4 linked regions of the Drosophila melanogaster genome follow. The protein of the gene in region 3 interacts with the protein of the main gene of each other region in a pairwise test. Each region holds a gene or a part of one and is shown on either strand. Other genes may lie near its edges.

The links.
Region 1: the proteins of CG43330 (region 3) and CG6937 interact in a two-hybrid assay, tested with the Drosophila melanogaster proteins (one large-scale study listed by BioGRID).
Region 2: the proteins of CG43330 (region 3) and Secp43 interact in a two-hybrid assay, tested with the Drosophila melanogaster proteins (one large-scale study listed by BioGRID).
Region 4: the proteins of CG43330 (region 3) and List interact in a two-hybrid assay, tested with the Drosophila melanogaster proteins (one large-scale study listed by BioGRID).

The regions. Positions count from the first base shown.
Region 1 is NT_033777.3:22,583,080-22,586,750, forward strand, and holds CG6937 (uncharacterized protein), read left to right. Parts: upstream 1-1,693; 5' UTR 1,694-1,783; coding exon 1,784-1,879; intron 1,880-1,946; coding exon 1,947-2,291; intron 2,292-2,354; coding exon 2,355-2,984; 3' UTR 2,985-3,069; downstream 3,070-3,671. Other genes in the region: Dph5 (diphthamide methyltransferase), read right to left, coding at 1-41; CG33107 (uncharacterized protein), read right to left, coding at 390-444, 516-562, 620-850, 909-1,112, 1,171-1,356, 1,413-1,565; btn (buttonless), read right to left, coding at 3,070-3,546.
Region 2 is NT_033779.5:4,452,624-4,456,029, forward strand, and holds Secp43 (tRNA selenocysteine associated protein), read right to left. Parts: upstream 1,831-3,406; 5' UTR 1,740-1,830; coding exon 1,704-1,739; intron 1,643-1,703; coding exon 668-1,642; 3' UTR 546-667; downstream 1-545. Other genes in the region: CG15439 (uncharacterized protein), read right to left, coding at 1-328; ND-B8 (NADH dehydrogenase (ubiquinone) B8 subunit), read left to right, coding at 2,106-2,203, 2,265-2,371, 2,433-2,515; Gs1l (GS1-like), read right to left, coding at 2,703-3,115.
Region 3 is NT_037436.4:22,503,346-22,506,008, forward strand, and holds CG43330 (uncharacterized protein), read right to left. Parts: upstream 1,079-2,663; coding exon 566-1,078; 3' UTR 524-565; downstream 1-523. Other genes in the region: CG43331 (uncharacterized protein), read right to left, coding at 1-410; CG43329 (uncharacterized protein), read right to left, coding at 1,249-1,833.
Region 4 is NT_033778.4:18,727,248-18,732,037, forward strand, and holds List (Lithium-inducible SLC6 transporter), read right to left. Parts: upstream 3,035-4,790; 5' UTR 2,993-3,034; coding exon 2,496-2,992; intron 2,298-2,495; coding exon 1,923-2,297; intron 1,786-1,922; coding exon 1,596-1,785; intron 1,540-1,595; coding exon 1,257-1,539; intron 1,192-1,256; coding exon 1,015-1,191; intron 935-1,014; coding exon 834-934; intron 772-833; coding exon 700-771; 3' UTR 570-699; downstream 1-569.

The sequences.
Region 1 (3,671 bases), on a different chromosome or scaffold from region 3:
TCCTTCAGGTCGCCAAGGCCGAGGCCGATTAGGTAGAACATGCTGGGCGACTGGTGCGACTGCTCGGCCACTGCAACTCCTGCCAAATGTTATTAAAATCGCTTTTTAAATGCAGTCAACACGTGCCGTCGCGCGTTGTGTGACCGCCGCCAGAGCGCCAAGAAATACTCACATTGCGACAATGGGCTAAAAAAGCCTGTGCAGCAATGGCGCGTATTTTGAATTTGAAGGCCATTTCATTTAATTGGGAAATAAACACTAAAAACTTTGGTCCACTACTTAAGAAATGATATATTTGGTTTGCTTTTTTGATCTCAGCTGTATGATACCTATGTTACTCTTAGACTGTAATAATAAGTAAACTACTTAACATAACTACACTCCAGCAATTATTGGAACTCTGAATTTGTTTGCTCGGAAATCTTGAAGCTGCAAAGTTGGGGTCTGTGGATGAAAAATATCATTTAATTAACGTACTTACGTACTTACAACAATATTACGCCATTTCAACTTACGTTGTTGAGGCGCCCCGAACCACGCAATAAGCTATGAATCGTTCAATCTGCAAAGCAATCTTTATCTTTACCGATTCCCTTATTATAAATGCATAGGCACTCACCATCATTTCAAAGTCGCCATAGGCGGCGGAGTGATCCATGCGCACCTGCAGGAAGTACTTGTGTATCTCGGCACCCAGATTGTCCTTCCAATCAGGACACTCCTCGCGTATACGTCTGCAATTGATGATCATGCTGAAAGTGCGGATGAGCATAAACAAATCTGCCTGGCGTCCACTGTTTGCCAACTGGCGCCAGTTGACCGTTTTGGCCATTTCAAAAGCCTTGAGAGCCTGCATATATATGGGTTTAGATTTTAAAGTGCTGATGGAATCAGTTTTAGGTTCATACATATTCCTTCTGGTCCAGTTCAACTGGTTCTCCCGTGTACCGTCCCATTATGGTGAGTAGCAGGGCCATAGCTACATCGTTGCCAAGATGGCAGGATTCTACCATGGCGGGAATCGCGGCCTGCAGGTCCAGCACTCTTTCCAGGCGCTCCATACCCACGCCAGTGATAAGGTTTTCGTACAACCCACTGGCCATGTAGAACATCTAAAGGGAATAAGATGTAATTGATCGGAAATGTTAGGATAGCAGAAAGGGGAACTACCTCCTCCGAGTCCAGGGACTCTGCCAGGTGACACACCACATCCACCATCATGTAGCGCTCCTTCATCAGCAGAACGTTGTCCCTTTGGTACGTCATCATCATAATGGAGAGGGTAAACAGATCGAGCAGCTGCTGCAAATTGAGTTCCAGCTTCCCGGCTAAGGTAGCCATCATGCGATTCAGCAACTAAGTTAATATAAACAAATTAGTAATAGTTATTAGGAAATAAACAGAATAATAACCTGTTTGCCGTCTGTGGTTTCTGCAGCGTAAGGAAACAAATGCTTGATGGACGACTTCCGGAGAAAGGACATGATGGATTCGTGGTCATAGCCTAGGCGCATTTCATCCACTTCCACGAGGGAATTATTCAACGATGAATCAGATAGATTCATTTTGTATTGGCGGTAAAAAATGCGCAAAGCAAATAAATAGAAATAATAAACTGAAAGAGTGACCAGGCACCAAGGGGTGGGTCAAATAGCCTAACGCCTAGTTAAGCGCTGTATCGCATGAACGTAAACGGTCATACCATTATTGTTGCTCCACGTGCGGCGATTTTTATTCATTTACTACTTTAATAATCAATTTTAGTGAATTGACACTAATTAAAATGCCGCCTGTTAAGAAGCCCAAGGCGCAGAAGATCGAGAAGCAAAGCACGCCCAAAAAGCCCATCGATGCAGCCAAGAATGTGGTTTCCGGACAGGTGAGCGGCTACCAAAAACAAATGCTCCTCCGTTGGGTTGGATAACCGTAAACTGCGTCCATTTTAGCTAAAGAAAAAGGTGACCAAGGCCAGGCCGCAGAAGCCAAAGGGTCCAGAACGCGGCGTGGTCATTGTGAAGCACCTGCCTCACGGATTCTTCGAGCAGCAGCTGCGCCAGTACTTCCGACAGTTCGGTCGGGTGCTGCGCGTCCGTTTGGCCCGTTCGCTGCGCACCGGTAACAGCAAGGGCTACGCCTTCGTGGAGTTCGAGTACCCGGAGGTGGCCAAGGTGGCTGCCGACACCATGGACAACTACCTGATGTTCCAGAAGGTGGTGAAGGCCACCTACATTCCACCAGAGAAGCAGACACTCAACTTCTTCAGGACTTCCTTGAAGAAGGTTGTCAATAAGGTGCGTTCAAAGGGAAATACATCTAATGTCCGTTTGTTATTCATAGTTGTACTTCACTTGCAGGCCGGCAAGGAAATCTATGTCTCGGATTTAACCAAAGCCACACAGCGCAGCGTGAAAAAGCAGAATAACTGGGATGAGTCCGCCTGCCAGAAGCGCACCGTGGCCAATCTCAACAAGATCAAGAAGCTGCAGGAGAAGTACAAGGATCTGGGCATCGACTTCTCCAACTTACTGGTGGAACCAGTAAAGAAAGCAGCAGGCTCCGCTGAGGCATCTACAAGCCAGGCAGCCGCCAAGAAAGCCGGTAAGAAACAAAAAACGGCCGCGAAGAAAGAACCAACGCTGGAGGATTTGCTGGGCAACACCATCAACGAGGACTCCGATGATGAGGACTACGTTGATGCATCCGATGATGAGTCCGATCTGGAGGCTGAGGAGGAGCAAGCGGACAGTGAGCAGACCAGCGATGACAGCGACGAAGAGGAGGATTTATCACCGCCGCCCAAGCAGAAAAAGACTAAGCTGGCTGATAAACTGAAACGCAAGCCCGGCACTGGTGGTGTGCAGAAGAAGAAAATAGCTCCGCCGGCTAAGAGCAACAAGAATGCCGCCACCCAGAAGTTGCAGCTGGCCGCAGCCAAGTCGCTGGCCAAACCCTTGCCCAAGGGAAAGGCCAAGAAATCCAAGTAGTAGCTTAAAATACATTTACTATAGTTGTTAAGTAAGCGAAAACATTTTGTAAGATGAATTGTGTTAAAATATGTCCTTGTACAAACTAAAATGGCGTTTTGGCCGAGCTGCCTTGCTGCTCCTCCAGTTTGATGCGCTTGCACTTCATGCGTCGATTTTGGAACCACACCTTCACCTGGCGTTCGGTCAGCTCCAGCGCCACTGCGATTTCGTAGCGACGCAAGCGAGTCAAATAGTTGGAATAGCAGAACTCCGCTTCCAGCTGCTTGAGCTGCGTTTTTGAAAATGCTGTGCGTTCCTTGCGATTCGAGCTGATTGCCCGGAGTTTGGACCTTTGGCTTGGAAGTTCTTGACCAGTAGGTGCCTCATTTTGTAACCATTGATCGTTCGCTTCGTTGCACCAATTAGTTTCTAGTTTATTGTAATCCGCGTAGGAAGAAGACGCACTGTGGTCATATACATAGCTGCAGTCCGTATAGCCCTCCGTTTGGTTCAGCCACGATTTCGTAATATCCTCGTAGCAATAGGATTCTTGGTAGACGTTCGCGTGGGAGTTCTTCATTGCCGATGTCTTTGCTTCTAGGTCTAAACTATTACTGAAATCTCAGATTCGGCGGAGCTGCTTTTTAAACAAGGCGCAGAGTGTGCCAGGCCAATCTGCTTTTTCACTTAGTCGCAAATGATGTG
Region 2 (3,406 bases), on a different chromosome or scaffold from region 3:
GTGGCGCACGAGGCACTACTGGTGCTGCCGGGGAGGAAGCTGCGCAGTGGTCCACTCCATTGATCCCGTTCTCCAGTGGTGACGGTTCCGTTTCCGCCAACAGCTGCCGGAGCTGCAGTGTTGAATCCTCGCTCTCCGCATCCGAATCCGATTCAGAATCGGAGCCACCACTGGCGTCGCTGCTGCTACCGTCGCCATCGCTCTCGTCCTTCGATCCGTCCGAGCAGTTGTCGATGTCCGGCAGGAAGTCGCTATCCGAGGAACTCTCGCCCAAGTCAAAATCGAGCAGGGCCTGCGTAGTAATCTTCGGCTGCCGCGCTCGCTTCATGATTCAACGCTTATTTAGTCCGCAATTGTCTGCACAATCTCCGAAAGTCTCGGGCCAAGGCAGAAACTATCGACAGTCGATAGGCCGACATGGCGATGACACGGACAGAATAGTATTCCGTCTGTATATCGATAAAATACATCTGTTGTAAGGATATTAGGGATATTTTGTAAAAATGTATCCTTTATTTTGAATCCTTTGTTAAGAAATGTAGATTCAGGAGCATAAAAGTTTATAGCAGGCTCAAAAACAATAATACGCTACAAGTCAGGCTTTTATATTTTTTGCTTATATCTAAGCTGTAATTATAGTAAGCTATAAATATAGTAGATAAGTATCCTAAAAGACTTCCAGCTGCTCAATGGGCAGCCACTTAGAGCTCTCCAGAGCATCGTACAGACGGCGGTCGGCATCAATGGCCTCTCGGTTCAGTTTGTCCACATCCAGGACGAACTTGTGCTCCACCAGTCCGTTCTCATCCTCAGCTCCATTGGCGGCGGAAGCGGTCTGCTGCTGCTGCTGCTGCTCGTACTGGGCGCTGCGTTGTGCGCTCCAGGCCTCGGCGTGCTGGGCCAGAGTCTGCGGATTAGAGTGCGACTGCGACATGGCCTGCTGGTAGTATGCAGCCGCATCTGTGATCGAAGCACCGGCCTGCTCGTAGTAACCTTGCCAGGCCTGGTATCCCTGCCAATAGGTGCTGGTGGGGTCGTAGTACTGCGAGTAGTCGGTGCCACCTGCTGCAGTCATACCGCTTCCATATCCATAGTTTGTGTTGCCTTCGCCCACAGCACCACCCAACTCGGATTTGGGTTTGGGCACGGCATTGCAAATCTTTATGGGCTTGGTACCCAATCCGATGTACCCGTTCATGTCGTACAGCGCTGATTTCTGCTCATCCTCGATGCCAAATCGCACAAAGCCGTAACCCTTGGAAAACCCCAGGCTGTCCAAGATCACCTTGGCGGTTTTGATCGATGTGAACTTGCTGGAGAACACCTTGTACAGCTGATAGTCGTCCACGTCCGAGCTGAGGTCGCCCACCCAGACGCTAAATTCGCGTTCATTCCCGGGCAGCTTGTACGAGTTGCTGGCCGAGTTAAGACGGAATCGCACAATGGGATTGGTGCCCGGAATGGGCTTACCGTTTAGCTTGTGCATCGCGTCCAGCGCATGGTCATCGGATATGAAGTTGACGAAGCAGTAGCCGGCCGGTTCGCCCGTGTACTTGTTGCGCATCAGGCGCACCGTGGTGGGATCTTCGCCCATCTTCCGGAAAGCGGCGATTATGAAGTTCTCCGTCATGTAGGACTCCAGCTGAAATGGCCATGCGGGCTTAAAGGGTCATGTGTCTGGGGTAATGCACGTTGCTACTTACGCTTCCCATCCACAGTTGACAATGCACGGACGCCATAATTGTTCAAATACGTGTTCAATTGAATATTTTCCAGAGACAAATGATGTTTACCAAAACAAATGAGTGACTGGCCGTCAAGCATTTATCGGTATTTATCGATGTGGGCCAATCAAATGCTGACCTGGTGTCAGCCAAGACAATTGCCTTGGTTCTTGTCTTTGGAATGGATATTCAAACGATGCAACTAATGGTTCGCGTCTCTGGTGAGTTAGACGTTATTTTAGTTTGAGCCAAAAAGTAATTTGTTTTTAAAAAACAATAATACCAATATGTAATCCAAGACAGTTTGACAACCCTGCGTAGTACCGACATTTAAATAGACTTACTTCCTGAACATTTCAAAATCGCAAAAGTGGTGCCAAAATGGGTATTACTCTGTTCCGATTGGCCAGTTTTACTCCAAAACTGAAGGAGCTGCGAATCATTCTGGATCCCAAAGGAGACACTTCCAAGGGAGTCAGGTGAAATTGTCATTTTCCGCTTTTAAATTATATAATTTGCTAAAGCAGCGTTCCTTTACAGGGAATACGTGGAAAGGTTCTATCCAAACCTGAAGAAGAGCAATCCCGACCTGCCGATCCTCGTGCGCGAGTGCTCTGGCGTCCAGCCCCGCCTCTACGCCCGCTATGGTGAGTAGATTAGCATAATGTGCGCTGCTAGCTTCCCCCACATCGATTCCCATGTCCGCAGGCAACGGCAAGGAAGTGTCCCTCTCCCTGGCCAACCACGCTGCTCCTGACATACACAAAAACCTGGAAGCGGTTGGCAAATAGAACTTACGCTGGAAAACTATGTAGATTAGGCGCAAAATAAAGGCAAAGCCAGATGCTTTATGCACACATACGTATACGTGTATATGGGATAACATTTACACTTAAATTCATTTTCTTGGTAGGTACATCGATTTCCAATTACAGCAATAGCATCTTTTAGCTACAAAAAGTACGTCAGCCATTAAGTTCAATCCGTGAAGGCGGGCAGCCCGAACTGCTCCGGCTTGAAGTCCGCCAACGAGGCCAGCACTTGTGTGGCGTGCGAGGTCTTTTCCTGGGACAGTCGTGGGTCCGGCACCATCACCACCTGCATTCCGGCGCTGTTGGCAGCCGTCACGCCGTTCGGCGAGTCCTCGAACACCAGGCAGTCGGACGGTTTGGGCGGCACACCGAATCTGCCGGCGGCCACTAGGAAAATGTCGGGCGCAGGCTTGCCGTTGACCACCTCCTTGTCCGACGAACCGCACACCTTGTGGTTAAACAGGGAGAACAGCTCCCGATGTTGGGCCGTCTTCAGCTCGACCATGTCGGCGCCGGAGCTGGTGGCCAAGCAAAAGGGTACCTTGTTGGCGTGCAGGTGACGCAGCAGGCGCTCAGCACCTTGAACGGGGAAGGAAGCACACGATTAACAAACGGCTTTAATCACAGTAGGATAGTAATTGAAGCAGAAGTATTTATAGGGAGAAATGCCGATTAGTTTTCTGGTCGTGGTGCTAACCTTCCAGCAGGGGTACGTTGTGGAATCGCTCGTGGCACATTTGCGAGTACCGCTTGAGATAGTCTCCGGTTGTGATGGGCAGCTGGCACTCGGTGATGGCTATCTCTGCCGAGCGCTGGTCCGTGGTGCCCATTACCCGGAAACGCACTTCCTCCGGATACGGGCGGCCAAAG
Region 3 (2,663 bases):
AGGTAGGACGGGTCGTGGGTGTCGGGACGCTTCCAGATGGCGTACGGGGTCCCGATGGCCGGGATGCGGTCCTTGTGCTGCAGCCGAATCTCCTCTATGTAGCTGCTGTGACACACGTACTGCAGGATGTAGCCCTCGAGGAAGGTGCAGTTCTGGTCCTCGCATGCTGCCGACACTGGTCCGAGGATGAGCAGGAGCAGCAGGAAGGACACTGGCCGGAACAGCGGGCACGGCGGATGTGGTTTGAGCTTGGGCGGCGGTAAAGTCGTAGTCGAAGGCGGTGGGTTGCAGACCGGGCGCAGGGCGTGCCGAGGATGCTTGGGTTGCTTTGTATGCTGAGGAGGACGGAGCGACGAACGGTCGATCCACTTGTTATTCAGGCTTCGTGCGCTTGAGAGGCGCACTGGCATTGCTTATAGGCAAATGATTCTTTGATCATTTTCGAAAAATTTGATGGGAATTTCCAGGAGAATAAAAACGGTTCCGATCACTTCTCCCCCGCTTGACAGAAGATTCTCTAGTTGCCCCCGGCCCTGCGTTTAGCATCCGCTTAGCATCGACTTTCTTAGAGAAGCCTGAGTCCCAGGGTCCAAGGCCGAGTCCTGGCGGCCCCAGACGGAATATCACGATTGGGAACCCGCCGCGCATACAAAATGGCGACGCGATCGAACTTCGTGGCCGGCGACAGTCCACAGTGCTTCATCAGGTCCCGCACGTAGGAGAAGGAGAAGTCAAAACAGTGGATGCTCTCCGGTCGAATGTGTATGCCTAGCTCATCGGAGTCAGCACAATGAAGGCAGTTGAGGCTCAGGCTAACGTTCTCACACGGCGATATGGGCGACTCATAAAAGGAGATCAGCAGCTCCACACTGGGCAGTCGTCTCCACCAAAGCCAGTAGGGTACGTCGGCACTGAGCCAAATGTCTCGGTAGCTCAGCTTCAGGTCGGTGCTGTATTCGGCCTTACAAACCAGCGTAAATGGAATTTCGTTTTCTAGCATGAAGTAGCAGGAGTCGAAGGAGGCCTCGGAAGAGGACAGAAGAAATGCGATCGGGAGCAGCCACAGTTTCCATGTCATGGCTTTGTAGGTTGATGTCCATAGGGTATGGCATGTAGAAATGTAGACTAATAAATCATGGCTGACATTTGGAAAGCGACGCTTCTTCTAGCGCAACAATTTATTCATTCAATTTTGAACAATATCATTTTTACATTAAATTTAGATTTTTCGGGTACAAAACTTTCATTTTAGTAAGTGATCACCGCACACACGACAAGAAGCAGGTTTCTTTTCACACTTGTCGAAGTTGCATCACTCTTCGGCAAGTCGGGGGTTTTTATGCTAAGCGAGCCGTAGTGAATAATGGGCTTCTTGGTAAGGACACCTCCCTCACTTATGTCTTGGCCCAGACAGTGCCTTTTTAGCTCATTCGTATAGCGCAGACCGAAGGGGAAGCAGTGGAGGGTAGACGGTGTCACAAACAAAAGATCGTTGGTATTTCTTCCCTTGGTGGCTAGAAAGAATTGGCCAAGATCCATCTCGCCTTCCTGCAGATTGATGGTATCATAGTTTGGAAACATCGTGGTGTAAAACGATACCAGAAGAGCAGAGTCGTCCTCTTCGGTCTGCCAAACACTGTAGGGAGTGTCGGGAGGAGCTCGGTTGTCCCGAAACATTGTATACATATCCTTGGGGACATTTCCCTTGCACACGAACTTTAGAGTGACATTCTTTGCGAAGGTGCAATTCCCAGTGCTGTGTATGGCAAGAATTTGAAGCAAGGTCGCCAAAAAAACTATTGATATTCCAAAAAAGGTCAAGTATAAGCGCATTACAATAAATTTAAGGATGACTCATTACGGGTTTCCAAATTTCAACTCAACTGACAACAGGCTCACAGTTTTAAGGACCCAGATTGATTTTTTCTAAGCCATTTTAAGATTTCCCTTTGAATTATAATATTTATTTTTTATGTTAAGTTTTACTAAATGTTTAGTATTCAGGATTTAATTTACATAATACATTAATAAATCTTTTAAATTATTTTATAGTTACTAAAAACTATTTGTTCTCATAAAAACACATACGACTGGGTAAATATAACCTAGTAAAGAACAAGTTTTTACATCCGGTCACTTTTATTTCGATTTTTACGCGGTAGTCAGGCCAAGGAACTTGTGCACTACACATACCACTTTTACAAAAAGTTTCAACTAACTTTTGCAGCCAAAGATAAAAAGTTTTTTGAATTCAATCAAATTAATTAAACAATATCTTTGGTGATCCAGTCTATTTATGCACTATTCGATTCCAAGCAAAGGCTATGCTATTGGTACTCTTTTCAAATTTCATTAAATGCATTATTTTAAAAAACAAAACAACCAATATATGAAACATTCGGAATTTGTGCATTACATTAATGGGTTGAATCAGTTTTCCCTAACGAATACTGGATTTTAAAACCATTTGTGGATTGTGAATGCCAAGCCCAGAAATCTTCTCTATTTATAGAACTCATTGTTTTGATCCGGTCATTCCATCTCTTCCTCGATCTCAGTGCAGCTACTAGGTTTCAGACAAGTCGGAGGAGAAAAAATGCGTCAAATTGATTTACACGCAAGCTAAAGTTCGTTGAAAGGGCGGGCTGCAGCAATGTGAAGGA
Region 4 (4,790 bases), on a different chromosome or scaffold from region 3:
TTACAGTGCCCTGCTGTGCTCTAGTCCCCATTTTTTCATCCTTTTCCAAGTCATCCCGCTTGTCTGCGCTGCAGCACTTTGTATCCTTACAAAAGGATATTGCAATTTGTGGCCAATTTAATGGAAAACGTAGAACTTTCCGAATAACATTTCGTTTTTTACATCTGATTGTAAAATTTTAATTTGTACAATAAATGAATATTAAATATTCGTATTCTTAAGTATTTCTTTAAAAATATATATAAATCATCCAAATGGGAACTTGTGCAATTTTTTAAAGAAATCATTTTCATATGAAAGAGTATTATAAGATTCGTCGTAAGGAAAAGTAACATCTGCTACTTGTTTTCATTTAGTATTTGCGCATTTCCGCATTGCTGACATGACTGACATGCCAAGCGGACTAACACAAACACAACTGAGAAGGAGTGCAGCTGCCACGCCCAACTGGAGCTCTGCCCTGGGGTAATTAAAAGTGCTTGCAGCAGCTCCTCCTCCTCGACTTCCTCCATTCGCCAGCTCAACTCCTTCGGGCAGTTAAATTGTTCCGCCAGAATAAGCCCGCTTTTGTTTTTGGCTCCACGAGCCCCATATATTTCACTTTATTCTACCCATTTTCATCTAGACCATATCAAATAATAATGCCCCTGACTACTGGAGCCATTACGTATACGCAGTGTTGGGTACCGAGCTAATTTTCTATATGGTGGCATCCAGCTGAACGTTGGCCGGTCCCCAAGTGTCCGACGGCTTGCAAGCGGCACGTATTCTCTAAAAGACGGGAAATGGATATAAAGCCCCTGGAAAGGAGGGGTGGGGGGGGGTGTACATACCTGCCAGAAGCTGCCGTTATGGCCACGCTTTTTATAGATGGCATAGATGGCCCAGCCGGGTAGTTGAATCAGCCCCAAGGTGGCCAAAAAACAGCCAAAAACTGTTAGTGGGGAGAGAAGAGAACACGGATACAATATAAACCCTTCAATAAAATTGAAGTGCAGGAAGACGTGGCCTTACCGTGTGCCAAGGTGGGATAGCCAACACCTTTGTACTCCAGAGCGGACATATCGAGCAGCATGTAGATGAGCACGGCGGTCATCAAACCAGGTGTAATGAAACGCCAGCAGAGGCGCCAGTACCAACCGGTTTCAATGCCCATCATAAACTTGATGTCCTCGCAAAAGCGATTAACTCCTAAAAAAGTGAAACAAAAAGGACTTTGAACAATAGCTTATCCCACGTTGGATATATAAACCCACCGTAAATCCATGCAACAGCCACCAATTCGCCAATGGCCAGGATCAAAGCGGTGAAGGAGACACCGTAGAAATCCACTAGATTCAAGATAAACTGACCGCCCGGGGTCATGTAAACGATGCTCACCGAGAAGCCTAAAACAGTCAGGCCGCTGGCCAGTTTCCAAATGGGCGGGGAGCGTAATCCGAATTGATCCCGAATGACGCGCAGGATGCATGATCCCATGCCCACGGTGCTGCCAATGCCTAAGACGAATAGCATGAGGAAGAAAAGGACCGCGAACATCTTTAGGTAGTTGTGCTTTAGGGCGCCCATGGCGCTGGCTCTTCTCGATACCTTACCTGTGGCACATACTCGAACTTGGCAATGGCCTCCGGATACGAGATGAAGGCCAATCCCGCGCCGCCCTTCACCACACTGCCAATATCCGGGTTGCCAGTCTCGCGTGCCAGATTGCCCAGAATTCCAAAGGTAATGCAGCCAGCAATTATGGATGAACAGGAGTCCATGGTGGTGATTATCACAATGTCACTGTGGGGTGTGGCGGTTAGTAATCTTATTGCTCGAATAAATCTCTTGGCTTAGCTTTAGATTTCGTAATGAAATTGTTAAAGTAATATGCATTCTAAGCTTTCATTCCGTATCTTATCTTAAGCCAATAAACTCACTTGTATACGTTGCGGTTGAAGTTGTTGTAGCTGGCATAGGTGATCAAAGTGCCGAAACAGATGGCCAGGGAAAAGAAGACCTGTGTTACGGCTGCATACCAAACGAGTGGATTCAGCAGCTCTCGCCACTGTGGCTTGAAGAAGTATATAATGCCATCGATGGCTCCTGGCAGGGTAACGGCTCTCAAGAGCAGGATGAGCAGCACCACATAGGGAAATACGCCCAGGAAATAGGCCGCCTTGCCACTGCTCTTAATGCCGCGAATGAGGACTCCTCCGATGACCAGCCAAGCAATCGCCAAACAGGCCACCAGTTGCCAGTTGGGCAGACTCAGTCCGTTGTCTATGTTGGGCACCTCATGAAGGATCTCACGTCTGGAAAGGTAGAGCACAAGCATAAAATCATTTATAACAATTTAGAAAATAAAGCCTAGTCTATATGAATTTGTGATGGCATTAATGTATAATATGTCTGCCAAGAAAATGTTCTCTAAAAATCCTCTGCTTGTCTTAATTAGTTTAATAAAATGCTGTCAACAACTACTTGAATGATTTAAAAGTGGAGGTACTTGCTCAAAGTACAGCTGTGCCGGTGACATTTTTCCACTGCTATTTTGAGCATTGCCGTCGTGGCAATCGGTGCCCCAGCTCTCCCAGCACCTGCTCCATGGCAGCTCGGAGCCGAAGGAGGCCAGCCAGAATCGTAGAGTCAAAGCCATAATGCTGGAGTAGTATGTGATGGAGGCGGCTGTGGCCAGGACTTGACCCAATGCCACGCCCTTGAGCAGGGGAGCCATATCGAAGGCCTTGACCACGCCGCGACCCGTGAACTGGCCCAGGGATATCTCCAGATAGTAGACAGGCCGTCCAATTACCAGGAGGGCAATCAGGTACGGTATCACAAAGGTACCGCCGCCATTCTGGAAGGCAATGTAGGGAAAACGCCAGATATTCCCCAATCCCACGGATAATGAAATGCAGGAGAAAAGAAATTCGAGTCCATTTCCCCATTGCTCCGCCGGTTTTTCCGCTGGTTTTTCCGACTTCTTGGAAATCTCTAGCTGCGTCATGACGAGAACTGTTCACTTTGCGATGCCGCGTTTAACTAACCGCAATCGAGATATGTACCTGAAAACTTGGATGCTCGGATTCAGTGTCAGAATCGCGCGCCACAAATTCTCTGCGGTTGATTATCTAGTTTGGGGCAGTCTGGGGTCTGTAATCTCGTCGTGAACGCATCGTGAAATCAGTCTTAATTGGCACTAATAAAAGGTGCTAAGTGGCATGCAGATGCCGTAGACTGAATCCGAATCAAGTTCAGAAACAGAGGCAATTTGTATACAGATCCATTAGAGAGAAGTTCTATATATTATTCGAGCTGGACGATAAGCCAGTTTGTAAAGGGTTGAGGCATAGGAGAGATGTCAACATGCTGTAATGTAATTCAGACAACGCAAATTGAGTCAAGTTGTGAAATTTGAAACACGGAAGCCGGCTGAGTTAATCTGGAAAGGCAGCAGAGATCTTTGATTATATTTAATTAAATTAAAGTACGGATTTATGCCAGCTCACAAACAATATTAAACTCTGCCGCCTTCATTTTAAAAGTAATTTCTCAAGTGAAATATACTTTGAGAAGCCATCAAAAAGGAGCTAGAAAATTTTCTTAAAAACATTTTCCACCGAGCTGGCAACTATTTGAAGTTCTATTTTACCACTACTATCTCTTCAGCTCTCGCCTGTCTGACAGCTTTGGAAAGTTTTTAATAATTTTCAAGAGTTTTCTAATTAACATCTCTGGCAGGCTGCAACTGAACTTGGCAAAAAGATGGAGCAACCAAGCCATCGAGCCAAGAAAATAAAACGCATCAGTTGGCGGAGGAGGGAAAGGGATGGAATGCGATGGGATGTGGCAGATAGTTGGTTAAATGCCACTGAGCCGCTTGAGTGTGCTATTACGGTGACAATTTTAAATGGGTTTTTAACAACTTTCGCAGATTTATGACAATTAAAAGCCTTTGATAATGCTGATTGCCTCTGGCTTTAGCTTCACTGCGTGGGCATTGCAATCCACGGTAATTGACTCTAATGCACACGAATGCCGTTTTAAACATAACTTGTTTGCATTAAATGTGGGAAAATATGAAAGGACCTGAAAGTATCGTTCACATTATGAAATATTAAACTAATATTTAACTATTTAAACTTATAGCTTCTAGCTAAGACTTGGCATATAAACAGCAAACAAAACGGCAGTTTCATGGTCCAACTGTTTTAAGCGAGCAGCTTTCGCGTGCTTTTGGCAAACAATTAAATTTAATACAATAAAATTAAGTCCATAAAAAAAGTACATTTTTCTGCTTTAGAGTGTTTCGTTATTTAGTTGATTGTTATTCGAGTCGTCGCACTTGTTTTTATGGTTTCCATACCACAAATTATCGCACATAAATTGCCATTAGTTGGGTGGAAAGCGTATGGGATGTATAATTTCTGGGTTCGGTCTCCTGGTGTTGGGTTAATTAAAGTGCAGTGCATTAGCTTGTTGTCGGCAAAGCCGTGGGAAATGCGGGAAAAACGAAGGGCTGAAGGCGGTGGGCTAACTAACTTTAATTGCAGCTGTAAAATGTTGTTACTTGCGCACGCAGATTTTCAACGACCAGCAACAATGGCAGCGAAATGAGGCAAATAAAATTGGGGGGAAAAACTTTTTCCGATGGCACAAGCGAAAACGCATGTGTGGATACAGGGATGTATCTGTGTGTGTGTGTGTGTGCAAGGATCGATAGAAGGAGGGAAACTCGAAGCTCGTTTGCAGGCCCATTAACAAGGAAAAAATGAGCACTGCAATTAGTTTTCCCTTTCTGGTTT